3 linked regions of the Drosophila melanogaster genome follow. The protein of the gene in region 1 purifies or fractionates together with the protein of each later gene. This does not show direct contact. Each region holds a gene or a part of one and is shown on either strand. Other genes may lie near its edges. The genes, in order: Cpsf100, Dcr-2 and Sym.

What was found.
Region 2: the proteins of Cpsf100 (region 1) and Dcr-2 purify together in Drosophila melanogaster (affinity purification with western blotting; one study listed by BioGRID). This does not show direct contact.
Region 3: the proteins of Cpsf100 (region 1) and Sym purify together in Drosophila melanogaster (affinity purification with western blotting; 3 studies listed by BioGRID). This does not show direct contact.

The regions. Positions count from the first base shown.
Region 1 is NT_033777.3:29,032,663-29,037,573, forward strand, and holds Cpsf100 (cleavage and polyadenylation specificity factor 100), read left to right. Parts: upstream 1-1,910; 5' UTR 1,911-2,000; coding exon 2,001-2,149; intron 2,150-2,208; coding exon 2,209-4,330; 3' UTR 4,331-4,400; downstream 4,401-4,911. Other genes in the region: beta4GalNAcTB (beta1,4-N-acetylgalactosaminyltransferase B), read right to left, coding at 286-1,257; Slu7, read right to left, coding at 4,421-4,911. UniProt on the Drosophila melanogaster protein: Component of the cleavage and polyadenylation specificity factor (CPSF) complex that plays a key role in pre-mRNA 3'-end formation, recognizing the AAUAAA signal sequence and interacting with poly(A) polymerase and other factors to bring about cleavage and poly(A) addition.
Region 2 is NT_033778.4:17,575,511-17,583,293, reverse strand, and holds the start of Dcr-2 (Dicer-2), read left to right. Parts: upstream 1-1,768; 5' UTR 1,769-1,867; coding exon 1,868-1,888; intron 1,889-1,948; coding exon 1,949-2,079; intron 2,080-2,200; coding exon 2,201-2,378; intron 2,379-2,817; coding exon 2,818-3,125; intron 3,126-3,181; coding exon 3,182-3,878; intron 3,879-3,941; coding exon 3,942-4,499; intron 4,500-4,565; coding exon 4,566-4,740; intron 4,741-4,798; coding exon 4,799-7,783. Other genes in the region: CG6484 (uncharacterized protein), read left to right, coding at 1-52, 469-1,164.
Region 3 is NT_033777.3:5,737,609-5,744,028, reverse strand, and holds Sym (symplekin), read left to right. Parts: upstream 1-1,552; 5' UTR 1,553-1,900; coding exon 1,901-1,987; intron 1,988-2,057; coding exon 2,058-2,251; intron 2,252-2,312; coding exon 2,313-4,435; intron 4,436-4,511; coding exon 4,512-5,434; intron 5,435-5,540; coding exon 5,541-5,711; 3' UTR 5,712-5,851; downstream 5,852-6,420. Other genes in the region: Madm (MLF1-adaptor molecule), read right to left, coding at 1-1,044; CG1236 (uncharacterized protein), read right to left, coding at 6,121-6,420. UniProt on the Drosophila melanogaster protein: Component of a protein complex required for cotranscriptional processing of 3'-ends of polyadenylated and histone pre-mRNA. Involved in germline stem cell transit amplification, differentiation and mitosis-to-meiosis transition.

The sequences.
Region 1 (4,911 bases):
TTAAATTCAATACATTTTTATTGGCAGAGGCAGAGCGTGCTTAACATGTCGATATCCGCTTAATCTGAGGCTTCTGCATTGTACTTCAATTACAGCTTTGACTCCTCCATTCCCGTCTAGCTTCTTAGCCTAGTGAGTGAGATATCACGATCGATTCGGAACGCATTGTCTAAGGCGGTAACTAATCGGTTGCGAAGCGAAGTGCAGCCAAGTATAAAACACTTCGAGATACCGACTACGAAAACGATTGGCCTACAAGCTAAATACAATAACAAATACTGGCACTCAGGTATCAACCAGGATGTGCGTGAACAAACTGTGCATTCGCCGCTCCATTTCCGTGTACACCAGTGAGTTGAGTCCATCCGCGTGCTGGCGCAGAGTCGCCGATCTCAGCAGTGCCACGCGATTGGCATTCGGCTGCTCCTGTTTGTGCTTCAGCATGGTGTACTTACTGAACTCCATTGCGAATCGGCAAATGTCGATATTCAGGGCCTGCAGGCGCTCGTAGAGGTCATCGTCCTCTCCGCCCCAGCCGTAATACAGATTGGACATGCCGTTGATCTGCTGGTACTGGGCGGTGTTGATGGCCACCACGCCGCCGAAAAGACCGCGGTAAGGCAGTCGGAATCGCCAGTGATCCAGGGCAGAGCTCATGTGCCGTGGACGTTCGGAGCAGGCATATATTTGACCCGAATTCAGTGGCAGGAGGTCCACGTCATGAAGGATGAGGCAGGGAAATCCATACTCCGCAGCCACCTGGGCGCCAATGTTGAAGAGCATCGCCCTGTTAAACGGCTTATGATCGAACTGTTCGACCAGGAAAATCCGATAGTGGATCAGCTGCTGCGGCAGGTAATTGTGCATGTACGTGAGGAAGGCGTGCAGCTGCTCCTCCCGCTGCCTGTACGGCACAATGATGGCGGTGCTGTAGCGAGCCTGACATCCTTCCGGACGGAACTCGCCGCCAGGACGGATCTCCGCGCCCCTCTGCACCGCGTCATGGTAATGGGCCAGGTGGTAGACGAACCGGTTTTCGGCAATGATCTCCGAGTAGGTGCATTCGAAAACTTCCTGCTGGGAGACATTTCTGGTCACCTGCGGCACCAGAGCCCCCTCGATCTTTGATTCCTCGATGTAGTCGTAGTGCGATGCGAACCGGAAGGGCAGACACAGGTACACGATGAGAGTGATCAGTCCGATGGCGATGAGAAGATCATATTTATGGAAGCTGCGGACCCAGAGCCGCACGAACATTGTTGGCAGGAAAAGTTGACTCAGTGCGATCTTTGGAAACTCCGCATCCTAATTTCGGACGCAATCTTCGCGGCCGGTTGGCGAATAACAGCTGACGACCAGGGACGCAACGCATAAACCAACAGACAGTGAAACTTCACCAGCTCGAATTGTTTTTTTTTTGGTTTATTTTCTCACATAATATTCATTAATTTTTTAAATGGTTTTTACGAACAACTAAAGTCTACTAACCAAAAAGAAAATGTTTATGAAATCAATTTTTAGGATGCCTTTAATACAAAATAGCATAAGAAGTTGTTTTTATAAAAAGTATGCAACCGATTGGGCATCCATGGTTCTTTAAAACGGCATGACTCTACCCCACCCTTATTAATTAAACAATAATTTGATAAAAAGTTGTGTTTACTTATACTAGATTGTTGAGACTTCTATTGATAAGGATGCATAGTTATAAATGTTGACTCATTAAAGAGAAGGTAATTGAACTGAAGAAGGTTGTAGCCATATGTATGTATGGTTAATACATGAGAGACATAATCAAAGTTTTTAATTTATAACATTTAAAATGTCAATCTTTGTTTATTATCGGGTTGTACTGTTCGCTCAACAAGTACGTACTGTATAAACAAAGCAACAGCACTCTGGCAACGCCGTGACAGTTTCCCATCCCTGAACCGGCGAAGAACTCTTGGTTTCCTTTTACAATTTCTTAAACAAATGCACCGGTGGTTTAATTGGCAAAAATGACCTCCATTATCAAGCTGCACACTATATCTGGGGCGATGGACGAGTCCCCGCCATGCTATATCCTACAGATAGACGATGTGCGGATATTACTTGACTGCGGATGGGACGAAAAGTTCGATGCCAACTTTATCAAGGAACTGAAGAGGTGACAATTGTATACATATTTCAGGAAAACAATAACCTAAATATTTTGTGTATTCCCAGGCAGGTGCACACCCTGGACGCCGTGCTGCTATCCCATCCGGATGCATATCATCTTGGAGCCCTGCCATACTTGGTGGGCAAGCTGGGGCTCAATTGCCCCATCTACGCCACCATTCCCGTGTTCAAAATGGGTCAAATGTTTATGTATGACCTTTACATGTCGCACTTCAATATGGGAGACTTCGATCTATTTTCGCTGGACGACGTGGACACGGCTTTCGAAAAGATAACCCAGTTGAAATACAACCAAACAGTTTCACTGAAGGACAAAGGATATGGAATATCCATTACGCCTTTGAACGCTGGACACATGATCGGCGGCACCATCTGGAAGATCGTCAAGGTGGGCGAGGAGGATATTGTGTACGCCACCGACTTCAACCATAAGAAGGAGCGCCACTTAAGTGGCTGCGAGCTGGACAGGCTGCAAAGACCTTCGCTGCTCATTACCGACGCCTACAACGCACAGTACCAGCAGGCCAGAAGGAGGGCCCGCGATGAAAAGCTAATGACCAACATCCTGCAAACGGTGCGTAACAACGGCAATGTCCTGATAGCCGTGGATACGGCAGGACGAGTCCTGGAGTTGGCCCACATGCTGGACCAGCTGTGGAAGAACAAGGAATCTGGGCTAATGGCCTACTCCCTGGCCCTTCTTAACAATGTGAGCTACAACGTGATTGAGTTCGCCAAGTCGCAGATAGAATGGATGAGTGACAAGCTCACGAAGGCTTTCGAAGGTGCCCGCAACAATCCCTTTCAGTTCAAGCACATCCAGCTGTGCCATTCACTGGCGGACGTCTATAAATTGCCCGCTGGTCCAAAAGTGGTGTTGGCCAGTACCCCAGATCTGGAGAGCGGATTCACGAGGGATCTCTTCGTGCAATGGGCCAGCAATGCCAACAATAGCATAATCCTTACTACTCGTACGTCTCCCGGCACTTTAGCCATGGAACTGGTGGAGAACTGCGCACCGGGCAAGCAAATCGAATTGGACGTCAGGCGAAGAGTTGACTTAGAAGGAGCTGAGTTGGAGGAGTACCTACGCACACAGGGCGAGAAACTTAATCCCCTTATCGTAAAGCCCGATGTGGAGGAAGAGAGCAGTTCCGAGTCCGAGGACGACATCGAGATGAGCGTCATCACGGGCAAGCATGATATTGTGGTCAGACCGGAGGGTCGCCATCACTCCGGTTTTTTCAAGTCCAACAAACGACACCACGTGATGTTCCCCTATCACGAGGAAAAGGTGAAGTGCGATGAGTATGGGGAGATCATCAATCTAGACGACTACCGGATTGCGGATGCGACAGGCTATGAGTTTGTACCTATGGAGGAGCAAAACAAGGAGAATGTTAAAAAGGAAGAACCGGGCATAGGAGCAGAACAACAGGCTAACGGAGGAATCGTCGACAATGATGTTCAGTTGCTGGAGAAGCCCACCAAGCTGATAAGCCAACGCAAAACAATCGAGGTGAATGCCCAAGTCCAGAGGATCGATTTCGAAGGTCGCTCTGATGGCGAGTCCATGCTAAAGATCCTCTCCCAGTTGAGGCCACGAAGGGTTATCGTCATACACGGCACTGCCGAAGGCACACAAGTGGTGGCCAGGCACTGCGAACAGAATGTCGGTGCGCGCGTTTTTACTCCGCAGAAGGGGGAAATCATTGATGTCACCAGTGAGATTCACATCTATCAGGTACGCCTGACGGAAGGACTTGTCTCCCAGCTGCAGTTCCAAAAGGGCAAGGACGCGGAGGTGGCGTGGGTGGATGGTCGCCTGGGCATGCGGGTGAAGGCCATCGAAGCACCCATGGACGTAACTGTGGAGCAGGACGCTTCCGTGCAAGAAGGCAAGACATTGACTCTTGAAACACTGGCGGACGATGAGATTCCTATCCACAACTCAGTGCTCATTAACGAGCTGAAACTGTCCGACTTTAAGCAGACTCTCATGCGTAATAACATCAACTCGGAGTTCTCCGGCGGCGTGCTCTGGTGCAGCAACGGAACTCTGGCCTTGAGGCGAGTGGATGCCGGCAAGGTAGCCATGGAGGGATGCTTATCCGAGGAGTACTACAAGATCAGGGAGTTGCTGTACGAGCAGTATGCGATCGTTTAATATTCAAAATGACGTTTGTGTAAGCCCCTAATGTTTTACTTGTTAAGATTAGAAAGTTTTTATATAAGAGAATCAGTTGTACTTTATTGCCTACATAAATTGCAGCATGGGATCTTCTGCCCTTGGCCGCTTCTTCTTCCACTCCTCGATCTCGTCCTCTGTGGGCGCCTTCACATCATACATGCTGTTATAGGCTCGTTTGCGATCGTCCAGTTCCTCGGGAATATCTTTTTCCTTTGTCTTATCTTTGTCCTTGGTCTCCTTGTTCTTGCCTTTTTGTTTTCGCTGCTCCTTAGCCTTCTTTTTCTTCTCGCGCTTCTTCGACTTCTTCTTGGTCTTCTTCTTCTCAGGTTTTACCTCCTCCTCTTCGGATGAGGAGGGTTCCGAACTCGATGCTGAGTCCACTTCGGAAGTGGGCCTTTCAGGTGGCACTTCTGGTACCTTGAATTGGCTTTGAGCTGCAGGTTCTGTAGTAGCCGCTGCAGTGGAGCTCGTAGAATGATGTTCCGAGTAGCCCTCTGGCTCCTGCATGCCCACGCAGTAGGAGTTCTTGATGAAGGACTTGCAGCACTTGTAACCCC
Region 2 (7,783 bases), on another chromosome or scaffold:
CGAGCTCAAGGAGATCCTGGAGGAGTCCCAGAAGCAGATTGATATGCCACAGGTTAGTTAACATTCCACTAATAATCAATCAATCAATCAAAATCGATCGATATTGAAGGCATAAAGAAACTTTATAAAGGGTTCGCAGGGCTTTAACAGATTTATTACTCTTTCCATTATCACACAATCGGAAGTGATACATACATATACTTACCCTGATAAAAGAAATGTTGTAAATTCAGATAGTATATAATATTTTGTTTTCATTCATTAAGATTTTCAATAACTTGAACCAAGATAGGGTTTGCATTAAACTTAAACGATTTCGTAGTTAAACTACATATGAACACAGGTACGTAATTTGTTTCCATTATTCCATTTAGTAATCAGTGTAGCAGATACTACTTATCATACCTAATAAATACATTGATTTTGGTGAAGATTAGAAAATAATACGTGGTCTTATTTTTATTGCAGGTCAACATTCTGTCCTCCCTTCGTCGACCCATCGTCCTGAAGGGTCTTGGAATCGCTGTGCTCCTGCAGGTCTTCCAGCAGTGGACGGGAATCAACGCCGTTCTCTTCTACTCCGCCTCCATTTTCGAGGATACGGGCTCTGACATAAGTGGCAGCGATGCCACGCTTATCATTGGAGTCACCCAAGTGACCAGCACGCTGGTTGCCGTGGCCATTATCGACAAGGCTGGCCGTCGCATCCTGCTCCTTATCTCTGGCGTTCTGATGGCCGTGTCCACTGCACTGATGGGCGTGTACTTTCAGCTAAAGGAGAACGATCCGGCTTCAATGGACAATTTCGGTTGGTTGCCGATCAGCAGTATCTGCATTTTCATAATCTTCTTCTCGATTGGATTCGGACCGGTGCCGTGGCTGGTGATGGCGGAACTCTTCTCGGAGGATGTGAAGAGTGTGGCAGGATCGATTGCCGGCACCAGCAACTGGCTGTCGGCCTTCGTGGTCACGCTGCTCTTCCCAATCCTCAAGAGCTCGATCGGGCCGGGTCCGACCTTTTGGATCTTTACCGCGATCGCGGTCATCGCCTTCTTCTACTCTCTGTTCTTCGTGCCGGAGACCAAGGGCAAGACAATAATCGAAATCCAGGACCTGCTGTCCGGAGGAAAGGGTGTCAAAAGTGATGACAAGAGCCAGACGTGATGATGTCGCGTAGTCTTAGTCGTAGCGATACTTTTTCATATTCTCCTTAAGCCAATAAGAAAATGTTATGTATAAGAAGTGAAGAGCATAATCAATAAAGTAGAATCACCATGTATATAAACTACCCGATTGAATTTTCGTTCATTTCCGTCAGTGTAGTTCTAATTAGACTCAATTAGTATAATTCTAATTAGTTTGACAAGATTTTAAGTCTTGGAAAAAAATGAGGAAATAAGAAACTTTACTCGTATGGAGGAGGGCTGCAAACGAAGGTCTAAATGATCTAAGGATAGTATGGGTCAAAAAGTGATGTGATATATTCTTAACAATTGGTATTGATTAAGAATTCAAATAATAAATAATTCACGAACTTACACTACCGAAAATGCTTATTATTTTGTTGCAGATTTCGATAAAAATGGAAACGTTTATTATTTCCGGAAGGTATATTATTGGCAGCGAGCATTTCAAAACAAATTTATTTATGTTGCGGTTTGTGGTAATAATTTAAGTTCAAAGAACCGCACTGCGTAGTGTGACCAGTCCGTTTTGAAACACAATTCTTAATACGTTTGACACAAGGCATCTTATAAGAGCCGCTGGCCACTCTGTCACCGGCTTCTTTGTTCTTTAATCGTAAATTATTTGACTTCAAATTGTAATATCAAAATATCCCGAAGACTCTGTAACCAAGAGCGAAGATATGGAAGATGTGGAAATCAAGGTAAAATGAATTGGCTTGCGCTCTCGCTTATTGCAAAATAATTAACAAAATCCTTTCCAGCCTCGCGGCTATCAACTTCGCCTGGTTGACCACCTAACGAAGAGCAATGGCATTGTCTACCTGCCCACAGGATCTGGGAAAACGTTCGTGGCCATCCTGGTCCTAAAGCGCTTCTCGCAGGACTTTGACAAGTTAGTAGCGAATGGATATACATATATATATTATTATATGTATTACCTATATCCGATACTTACATTTATATATATATTATTATATGTAATACCTATATCGGATTCCGATTTGTTTACACAGACCCATCGAAAGCGGCGGAAAGCGTGCGTTGTTCATGTGCAATACTGTGGAATTGGCCCGACAACAGGCGATGGCCGTCAGGCGGTGCACCAACTTTAAGGTTGGCTTTTATGTGGGTGAACAGGGAGTGGATGACTGGACGCGCGGAATGTGGAGTGATGAAATCAAAAAAAACCAAGTGAGTATAGGATGGCGGAGGCATTTTTTATATACGCATATGATCACGTACGGACTAAACACTACACTACCACTACACACTGCAATTGCGATCACCACTTGAGTCGAAAAATTTGGGATCAGCATTTTTATGGGCTCGTAAGGGGTCGTGTTTTGCTAAGCCATCACAAAATCATCATTTCGTCAATTGATGTATTTTATTTGTTTTTTTTTTTTTTTGTAGTATGTTTATTTGTTTATTTATTTATTTTATTTGTTTATTTAAAATTAACTTGAGTTTGTGGATTGTTCTGGATCATCGAGTAGTAGATTTGATGGTCATTTTTATTACATTGAATTCATGTTAGACTTTTCAGTGTAATTCGAGGAATATTTATAGTTAATAATAATACACTGCTTCCAGAATTAAACCTACATGTGTAATTTTTGGTTCTTAACAGGTTCTTGTTGGCACAGCCCAGGTCTTTTTGGACATGGTCACCCAGACGTACGTGGCTTTAAGCTCCCTGAGCGTTGTCATCATAGACGAGTGCCACCACGGCACTGGTCACCACCCATTTCGTGAGTTCATGCGATTGTTCACTATCGCTAATCAAACAAAATTGCCGCGCGTGGTGGGTCTCACCGGGGTGTTAATCAAGGGAAATGAAATTACGAACGTGGCCACGAAACTTAAAGAGCTAGAGATCACATATCGGGGAAACATCATTACCGTGTCCGACACCAAGGAGATGGAAAACGTGATGCTGTAAGAGCGGGTGGCATTTTAGCTACAGTTTCCCAACAAGTGCATATTCTTTTCAGGTACGCCACCAAGCCCACAGAGGTCATGGTGTCCTTTCCACATCAAGAGCAAGTGCTCACGGTTACAAGGTTAATAAGCGCAGAAATTGAAAAGTTCTATGTATCCTTAGACCTCATGAATATTGGCGTTCAACCGATCCGAAGGTCAAAGTCATTGCAATGCCTGCGGGATCCGTCGAAGAAGAGCTTTGTAAAGCAACTGTTCAACGATTTTCTGTACCAGATGAAAGAGTATGGCATCTACGCAGCTTCCATAGCCATAATCTCGTTAATTGTTGAGTTCGATATAAAGAGGCGCCAGGCCGAGACGCTAAGCGTGAAATTGATGCATAGGACGGCCTTGACCTTGTGCGAGAAAATCCGTCACTTGCTGGTGCAAAAACTGCAAGACATGACTTATGACGACGACGATGACAACGTAAACACTGAGGAAGTCATTATGAACTTCTCCACCCCGAAAGTGCAGCGATTCCTGATGAGTCTTAAGGTATCCTTCGCTGATAAAGATCCCAAAGATATCTGCTGTCTGGTCTTTGTTGAACGCCGCTACACCTGCAAGTGCATCTATGGCTTGCTGCTCAACTACATCCAGTCTACGCCTGAGCTGCGAAACGTGCTCACGCCCCAATTCATGGTGGGCCGCAACAATATTTCTCCAGACTTTGAGAGCGTCTTGGAGAGAAAATGGCAAAAATCTGTAGGTGTGGAAATTATCGTTAATTGCTGATATTTTTCAAAATATGCTCTTACCGTCTCGCAGGCCATTCAGCAGTTTCGGGACGGTAATGCCAATCTTATGATATGTTCAAGCGTCCTAGAAGAAGGCATCGATGTGCAGGCCTGCAATCATGTCTTTATTCTTGATCCTGTTAAAACCTTTAACATGTACGTGCAGTCAAAGGGTCGGGCTCGTACCACTGAGGCCAAATTCGTGCTGTTCACAGCTGATAAGGAAAGGGAAAAGACAATTCAGCAAATTTATCAGTATCGAAAAGCGCATAATGACATTGCCGAATATTTAAAGGATCGAGTTCTAGAAAAAACTGAGCCAGAATTGTACGAAATCAAAGGGCACTTCCAGGACGATATTGACCCTTTTACCAATGAGAACGGTGCCGTGTTGCTTCCCAACAATGCCCTGGCCATACTGCATCGCTATTGCCAGACAATTCCCACGGATGCTTTTGGCTTTGTGATCCCCTGGTTCCATGTATTGCAAGAAGACGAACGTGATAGAATATTTGGTGTTTCTGCCAAGGGCAAGCACGTAATTTCAATCAACATGCCAGTAAATTGCATGCTAAGAGACACAATTTACGTAAGCTAGAGATTCAGATTGAAAATGGCAAAATCAAATAGAGTTAATTGCTTTCATTTCTTTCAGAGCGATCCCATGGACAATGTTAAAACAGCCAAAATATCAGCTGCCTTCAAAGCGTGTAAAGTACTCTACAGTTTGGGAGAGTTAAACGAGAGATTCGTGCCCAAAACATTAAAGGAGCGCGTAGCCTCTATTGCTGATGTTCATTTTGAGCACTGGAATAAGTATGGCGATAGTGGTGGGTTCACAAGAACTCGCATAAGATATGTTTACTTATATTAATCTTTCAACCATAGTGACTGCGACAGTCAACAAGGCCGATAAGAGCAAGGACAGAACCTACAAGACCGAATGTCCATTAGAGTTTTACGACGCACTTCCGCGGGTAGGTGAAATCTGTTATGCCTACGAAATATTTTTGGAGCCGCAGTTTGAATCGTGTGAGTACACGGAACACATGTATTTAAATCTCCAAACACCAAGAAATTATGCTATATTGCTGCGGAACAAGCTGCCACGCCTTGCAGAGATGCCCCTGTTTAGCAATCAGGGTAAGCTACACGTTCGAGTGGCCAATGCACCACTTGAAGTAATTATCCAGAACTCCGAACAGCTGGAGCTGCTCCATCAGTTTCACGGAATGGTATTCCGCGATATCTTGAAGATTTGGCATCCGTTCTTTGTGCTGGATCGTCGCAGCAAGGAGAACTCCTACCTGGTAGTTCCTCTCATACTGGGTGCGGGTGAACAGAAATGCTTTGACTGGGAACTGATGACCAACTTCCGAAGACTACCGCAAAGTCATGGGTCAAATGTACAGCAACGCGAGCAACAACCTGCTCCACGTCCTGAAGATTTTGAGGGCAAAATTGTTACACAATGGTATGCCAACTATGATAAGCCCATGCTGGTCACAAAGGTGCACCGTGAGCTAACACCGTTAAGTTATATGGAAAAGAACCAACAGGACAAGACCTACTACGAGTTTACCATGTCAAAGTACGGCAACCGCATTGGTGATGTTGTTCACAAGGATAAGTTTATGATCGAGGTCAGAGACCTTACGGAACAGCTCACTTTCTACGTTCATAATCGTGGAAAGTTCAACGCGAAGAGCAAGGCTAAGATGAAAGTTATTTTGATTCCGGAGCTATGCTTCAATTTTAACTTTCCTGGGGATTTATGGCTTAAGTTGATCTTCCTACCCAGCATTTTAAACCGCATGTACTTCCTTCTCCACGCAGAGGCCTTACGTAAGCGATTTAATACGTATTTAAACCTCCATCTGCTGCCTTTTAATGGAACTGATTACATGCCCAGACCACTAGAAATTGATTATTCGCTAAAGCGGAATGTCGACCCCTTGGGCAATGTCATACCAACTGAGGATATCGAGGAGCCGAAATCCCTTTTAGAGCCAATGCCCACAAAGTCCATTGAGGCGTCCGTGGCCAATCTTGAAATAACAGAATTCGAAAATCCCTGGCAAAAGTATATGGAGCCGGTTGATCTGTCGCGAAATCTTTTGAGTACGTATCCCGTAGAGCTGGACTACTACTATCATTTTAGCGTTGGTAATGTATGTGAGATGAATGAGATGGATTTTGAAGATAAGGAATACTGGGCAAAAAATCAGTTCCATATGCCCACGGGTAATATCTATGGCAACAGAACTCCGGCCAAGACTAACGCAAACGTGCCAGCTTTGATGCCGTCGAAACCGACTGTCCGCGGGAAGGTAAAACCACTGCTCATTTTGCAAAAAACTGTTTCCAAAGAACATATAACGCCAGCGGAGCAGGGCGAGTTTTTGGCTGCAATCACTGCCTCGAGCGCAGCGGATGTTTTCGACATGGAACGCCTTGAGATTCTGGGCGATTCCTTCTTAAAACTTAGTGCCACGCTCTACTTGGCCAGCAAGTATTCGGATTGGAATGAGGGCACTCTTACAGAGGTCAAATCCAAGCTTGTGTCTAATCGTAACCTGTTGTTCTGCCTCATCGACGCGGACATTCCCAAAACGCTCAACACCATTCAGTTTACGCCTAGATACACATGGCTTCCACCTGGCATCAGTTTGCCCCACAATGTTCTAGCCTTGTGGCGAGAAAATCCGGAATTCGCAAAGATTATTGGCCCACACAATCTCCGTGACTTGGCTCTCGGCGATGAGGAGTCCCTGGTGAAGGGCAACTGCAGCGATATCAACTACAACCGCTTCGTGGAGGGATGTCGAGCAAATGGGCAGTCCTTTTATGCCGGTGCCGATTTTTCATCCGAGGTGAACTTCTGCGTGGGACTGGTCACGATTCCCAACAAGGTGATAGCCGATACCCTTGAGGCGCTATTGGGCGTAATCGTTAAGAACTACGGATTGCAGCATGCCTTCAAGATGCTAGAGTACTTCAAGATTTGCCGTGCGGATATTGACAAGCCGCTTACTCAGTTACTGAACCTCGAACTGGGCGGCAAGAAAATGCGGGCGAACGTGAATACTACAGAAATTGACGGCTTTCTCATAAATCACTATTATTTGGAAAAAAATCTTGGCTACACGTTTAAGGATCGACGATATTTGTTGCAGGCCCTCACCCATCCCTCGTATCCCACTAATCGCATCACTGGGTCCTATCAGGAGCTGGAATTTATTGGCGATGCCATACTCGACTTTCTAATCTCTGCCTATATTTTCGAGAACAATACGAAAATGAATCCGGGCGCCCTCACAGATCTGCGTTCCGCTTTGGTCAACAATACTACGCTGGCCTGCATTTGCGTGCGGCATCGGTTGCACTTTTTTATCCTAGCGGAGAACGCAAAGCTCTCCGAGATCATATCCAAATTCGTGAATTTCCAGGAGAGCCAGGGTCACCGGGTTACCAACTATGTGCGCATTCTGCTCGAGGAAGCTGATGTTCAGCCGACTCCGCTGGACTTGGATGACGAATTGGATATGACTGAGTTACCGCATGCAAATAAATGCATTTCTCAGGAAGCAGAGAAAGGAGTCCCACCAAAAGGTGAGTTCAACATGTCCACAAACGTGGATGTGCCAAAGGCGTTGGGGGATGTTCTGGAGGCCCTTATTGCAGCCGTATACCTGGACTGCCGAGATCTCCAACGTACTTGGGAGGTAATTTTCAATCTCTTCGAGCCGGAGCTTCAGGAGTTCACGCGCAAAGTGCCCATCAATCATATACGACAGCTCGTTGAGCACAAGCATGCGAAGCCCGTGTTTAGCTCGCCCATCGTCGAAGGGGAAACTGTAATGGTTAGTTGTC
Region 3 (6,420 bases), about 23 Mb from region 1:
CTGCAGATCGTTTTCCAGGCTAAAGATTGTGCGCTGGATGGTCTCCTCGTTGATGGCAGTTGACTCGCTGTTACTGGGCTGGATTTCCAGGGCGGCCATCTCCAGGGCACACATCCCGAAGGCGTAGATGTCGAGGGCGGCGGTCAACTGGTCGGCGGCGCCGTACTCGGGCGCCTGGAAGTAGTGGGCGCCTCGTTCGCGTTCACGCTCCCGCTCTCGGCCGCGCCGGACGCTGTAGTGGACCGCGTCCGGGACCACCGAGCCGATCTTGACCAGGCCGTTGTGCTGGATGAAGATGCTATCACAGGTTAAATTGCCGTGGATGATGGGCGGCGAGCAGGAATGCAAATAGCTGAGTGCGGACAAAATCTGAGTGCACCACCGGCGCCACGACTCCAGCGGTAGCCGCTTGGCGTTGCGCTTGGTGCGCTTGAGGAACTGTTTCAGCGATCCGCTCGACATGTACTCGGTGATAAAGACCACCCTGGGTCGCTCGGCCTGCTGCGTGTCCGTCCAGTAGCGGTGGAACTTGACAATGTTTTGGTGGTCCAGCTGCAGCAGATTGTCGAACACCTGCCGCATCTTCTCCTCCTGCGACTTCAGCTCCTGTAGGCTGGCATATTGCACCTCATTCCACACGACCTCTACGCCCTCCTCGGTGTCCATGGCCAGATGGACGCAGTCAATACCGGGTACGTCACGCTGATCCACCTCCTCGCGTCGCTTCAGCCAGCGTCCACATGGCGACTCCTCCAAAATCTCGCTCTCATCCTCCGAATCGTCCCCGGACTCGCGTGGCGACGAGTCCAGATTGACGCCCTCGCTGCCAGCTACGACGCCGACGCCGACCGCAGCGCTGCTGCCCGCATCAGCTGTTGAGGCACTAACTATGTGCGGCGGGGGCTGCTGCGTCGACTGCGACGGCGGGGTCGCTGCTGGGCAGGATGCACTTACGGGGCCGGCCGCCAAGGAAGGGTGGTGCTGGATGGGTTCATCCGCTACCGTGCTACCGCTGATGCCGGCATTCGCTTGGCTATTTGACATTAGGGTGCGGTCACCGACGCGGCTGCGGCTGTTGAGCAGTGCTGTTCCAGTTCCAGAAGGCCTCGTCGTCTTCGGTTTCCAGTGTTTATTTTCTTTGTTGGACTGCCTACGTTTGCGCTAGCTTTTCGTGGTATCCACTACGGGGTCCGGGCAACGAGCTACATCCGCCGCTGCTCCTCTGCCGCTGCCTCTGCCCCACTCACTGGCGCACACATACACACGCACGCGCCCACACAGCTCATCCACTGCACCCCTCGCCCAGTAAACACTCCGCTGCGACGGCTGGCGGTTGCTGGGACGTTTTTCGGCACCTTCGACGGCGTCTTCTGTTCCAATCCTCGACTGCGTCGCGAACTGCGATCCGTTTGTTGCACTTTCTGGCCTGACACGCTGCCGATTCGTTTATTTAGGCGTTTTTTTCACGCTAAAACACCCAAGAAATGTGAGCAAATCGATGCCTCTGGCTTATCGATAGTCACCCCCGCATATCGCTCGGCCAGCGCAACTGCGGCATGCTCATCGATAATAACGCGTTAAGCTGAGATATGCCAAAAATGGCTTAATTTATGTGATTTATTAATTTTTTATACGGTAACGAGCAAGGAAAATTAGTTTGCAGGCGGTTCATTTGATTATAAGCCAAGTTTTTAGTAAAATATTCTTTTTCTTTTGAACACATTAAGAGCTGGCAAAAAATAGCTAGATGGTCCGGAAATATGCAGAATTACCAACATCATAGAACCGTTTTCGATAGTTTCTCAATGGTACCGATAACACCTTGCCATCCGTGCCGGCAGCTCTTAAAAATATCCGAAGTATCGCAGATTTAGGCAAAATCTGCATCAATTAACCAAACATGGATAGCATAATTGGACGCAGCCAGTTTGTCTCGGAGACGGCCAATCTGTTCACAGACGAGAAGACAGCTACGGCAAGAGCTAAGGTAGAACACAAATCTTAATCAGACAAGACAGTCCGGACTGCTGTATTGTACCATATATTTTCCCATTCAGGTGGTCGATTGGTGCAATGAGCTGGTCATCGCATCGCCTTCGACAAAGTGCGAACTGCTGGCTAAGGTGCAGGAGACTGTGCTTGGATCGTGCGCGGAGCTGGCCGAAGAATTCCTGGAGTCCGTGCTGTCTTTGGCCCACGACTCAAACATGGAGGTTCGCAAGCAGGTAGTCGCCTTCGTAGAGCAAGTTTGGTAAGGATTTCCATCAAAGGATCTAACTTCTTGCTGAAACGATTTATATTTTCCATCCCAGTAAAGTGAAGGTGGAGTTACTGCCCCATGTCATTAACGTCGTGTCTATGCTGCTTAGGGATAACTCGGCTCAGGTAATCAAAAGAGTGATCCAAGCCTGCGGTAGCATCTACAAGAATGGATTGCAGTACTTGTGCAGCCTCATGGAGCCCGGCGACAGTGCGGAGCAGGCGTGGAACATCCTCAGCTTAATCAAGGCGCAAATACTGGACATGATCGACAATGAAAACGACGGCATACGTACAAATGCCATTAAGTTCTTGGAGGGCGTCGTGGTTCTGCAGAGCTTTGCTGACGAGGACAGTCTGAAACGAGATGGAGACTTCTCGCTGGCAGATGTCCCCGATCACTGCACACTATTCCGCCGTGAAAAGTTGCAAGAGGAGGGCAACAATATTTTAGATATCTTGCTTCAGTTCCACGGAACAACGCATATTTCCTCAGTGAACTTGATTGCCTGCACAAGCAGCTTGTGTACAATTGCCAAAATGCGACCCATTTTCATGGGCGCCGTGGTGGAAGCCTTTAAGCAGCTGAATGCCAACCTGCCGCCCACCCTCACTGACTCGCAAGTAAGCTCCGTGCGTAAGAGCCTTAAGATGCAGTTGCAGACATTGCTGAAGAACCGCGGTGCCTTTGAGTTTGCAAGCACTATCCGAGGAATGTTAGTTGATCTGGGGTCCTCCACAAATGAGATCCAGAAGCTTATTCCCAAAATGGACAAACAGGAAATGGCTCGTAGACAAAAACGCATCCTCGAAAATGCTGCGCAAAGTCTTGCAAAGCGTGCGCGCTTGGCCTGTGAGCAGCAGGATCAGCAGCAGCGAGAAATGGAGCTAGACACTGAGGAATTGGAACGACAGAAACAGAAGTCTACTCGAGTTAACGAAAAGTTTCTGGCAGAGCATTTCCGTAATCCTGAAACTGTTGTGACCCTGGTGCTGGAGTTCCTGCCCAGTCTGCCCACTGAGGTGCCACAAAAGTTCCTTCAGGAATATACACCCATTCGCGAAATGTCTATTCAGCAGCAGGTAACCAATATCTCCAGATTTTTTGGCGAACAACTATCTGAAAAGCGCCTAGGCCCAGGTGCCGCAACCTTCAGTCGAGAGCCGCCAATGCGGGTTAAGAAAGTGCAAGCGATTGAATCAACACTAACTGCAATGGAAGTGGACGAGGATGCTGTTCAAAAACTGAGTGAGGAAGAGTTTCAGCGTAAGGAGGAAGCAACCAAGAAGCTGCGCGAGACCATGGAGCGCGCCAAGGGTGAGCAGACTGTTATTGAAAAGATGAAGGAGCGCGCCAAGACGCTGAAGCTGCAGGAGATCACCAAGCCTCTGCCACGCAACTTAAAAGAGAAGTTCCTAACTGATGCAGTGCGTCGCATCCTCAACTCGGAGCGGCAATGCATTAAGGGAGGAGTGTCATCAAAGCGCCGTAAGCTGGTCACCGTGATTGCTGCCACCTTTCCCGATAACGTACGTTACGGCATCATGGAGTTCATCCTGGAGGATATAAAACAGCGTATCGATTTGGCATTTTCCTGGCTCTTTGAGGAGTACTCTCTGCTGCAAGGATTTACAAGGCACACTTATGTTAAGACAGAGAACAGACCCGATCACGCCTACAACGAGTTGCTGAATAAGCTTATCTTCGGCATTGGAGAGCGTTGCGATCACAAGGATAAGATTATTTTGATTCGTCGAGTATATCTAGAAGCACCCATTCTTCCGGAAGTCTCAATTGGACATCTAGTTCAATTAAGCCTGGACGACGAGTTCTCCCAGCACGGCCTGGAGCTAATCAAGGACCTTGCAGTGCTTAGGCCGCCGCGAAAGAATCGTTTCGTTAGAGTGTTGCTCAACTTTTCTGTGCATGAGCGACTGGATCTGCGGGATCTGGCACAGGCCCACCTGGTCAGTCTGTACCATGTACACAAAATACTACCGGCTCGAATAGACGAATTCGCTCTGGAGTGGCTTAAATTTATCGAACAGGAATCTCCGCCGGCAGCTGTTTTCTCGCAGGACTTTGGTCGACCAACCGAGGAGCCTGATTGGCGGGAAGACACTACCAAGGTGTGCTTTGGTTTGGCCTTTACCCTGCTGCCCTATAAACCGGAAGGTAAGTTGTTGCTGTCCCGTATTAAAGAAGAAAAAAACTATTAAATCAATTTCTTAATATTCTCTTCCCCTGATAGTTTACTTACAGCAAATTTGTCAAGTGTTTGTTTCTACATCTGCCGAACTGAAACGCACGATCTTGCGCAGTCTAGATATTCCCATAAAAAAGATGGGTGTAGAAAGCCCGACGTTGCTGCAACTAATCGAGGATTGTCCTAAGGGTATGGAGACCTTAGTGATCCGTATAATTTACATACTGACAGAGCGAGTGCCATCCCCCCATGAAGAATTGGTTCGGCGGGTTCGGGATCTCTACCAGAACAAGGTCAAGGATGTGCGCGTGATGATACCCGTGCTAAGTGGCTTAACCCGATCCGAGCTAATTTCCGTTCTGCCGAAGCTGATTAAACTTAATCCCGCTGTGGTCAAGGAGGTTTTCAATCGATTGCTTGGTATCGGTGCCGAATTCGCGCATCAGACGATGGCCATGACCCCCACTGATATTCTCGTGGCTTTGCACACCATCGATACGAGTGTCTGCGATATTAAAGCCATCGTTAAGGCTACATCCCTATGTTTGGCTGAAAGAGATCTGTACACACAGGAGGTACTTATGGCTGTGCTGCAACAGCTTGTAGAGGTTACTCCGCTGCCTACTCTGATGATGCGCACAACAATTCAGAGTCTAACTCTGTACCCGCGTCTGGCAAACTTTGTAATGAACTTGTTGCAGCGTCTGATAATCAAGCAGGTCTGGCGGCAAAAAGTAATCTGGGAGGGCTTTTTAAAGACCGTGCAGCGCCTGAAACCGCAGTCAATGCCGATCCTGCTGCACCTTCCTCCCGCCCAGCTGGTGGACGCACTGCAGCAGTGCCCCGATTTAAGGCCAGCATTGTCGGAATACGCGGAGAGCATGCAGGATGAACCAATGAATGGTAGTGGTATAACCCAGCAGGTTCTGGACATCATCTCCGGGAAATCAGTTGATGTGTTCGTGACGGTAACTATGCATTTTTTGATTTAGTCTTAAATGAAATAATAGTAACTCAAATACCGAACCAATATCGAAGACGTTCAGCTACTACATACGAGTATCTTCTTTTCAGGACGAAAGCGGCGGTTACATCAGTGCCGAGCATATTAAAAAAGAGGCACCGGATCCATCAGAAATTAGTGTCATTTCCACAGTGCCCGTACTGACGTCTCTAGTACCACTACCAGTTCCTCCCCCCATAGGCAGTGATCTTAACCAGCCCCTGCCGCCTGGCGAGGACTAGTTGCAGTTTAATTGTTTTGTTTGCTCATACACATTTTTAAATTACTTAATAAGATAAGGTCTATAATTTTATAAACTCACTGTTCTAGGCGATAATACATAAAACCAAGGTCTTGACCGCACCCACATACATTATAAAGGAATATAATTTTGTTTGTTAATGATCAAAAGATTGGGAGTATACCCCACGCAAATAACACAAAAATTTCGATTCTGAGTGGCCACGACCATTTACGGATCAGTTCATTGCGAGCACTGTCATCGGCGTAATACAAGTGTTTCAATAATTTCAGTACCTTTAAAATACCTTTGAAAGTACGAAATATTTAATTAGAACATTGTACATAATTACAAACAGATGTTTTTAAAAAGATGTGGAAAAAATTCATTGTACGCTGAGATTACACGGCTTACAGCTCTACTTCGGCTACCATTTTATCGCCAGCTAAGGCAGCAAGAATATTTCTGGCTGTAATCCGGGACATTTCCTTGCGCGTTTCGATGTCAGCGCTGCCAATGTGGGGGAGAATAACCACATTATCCAGTTTCAGAAGAGGATCGTCGATTGGCAATGGCTCCGGCGTCGTTACATCCAGACCAGCTGCTAGAATTCGTTTGGTTTTCAGTGCCTCGTACAGGGCCTTCTGGTCTACAACGCCACCACGCGCCGTGTTGATAAGAATGCAGTTGGGCTTCATCTTCTGAAAGGC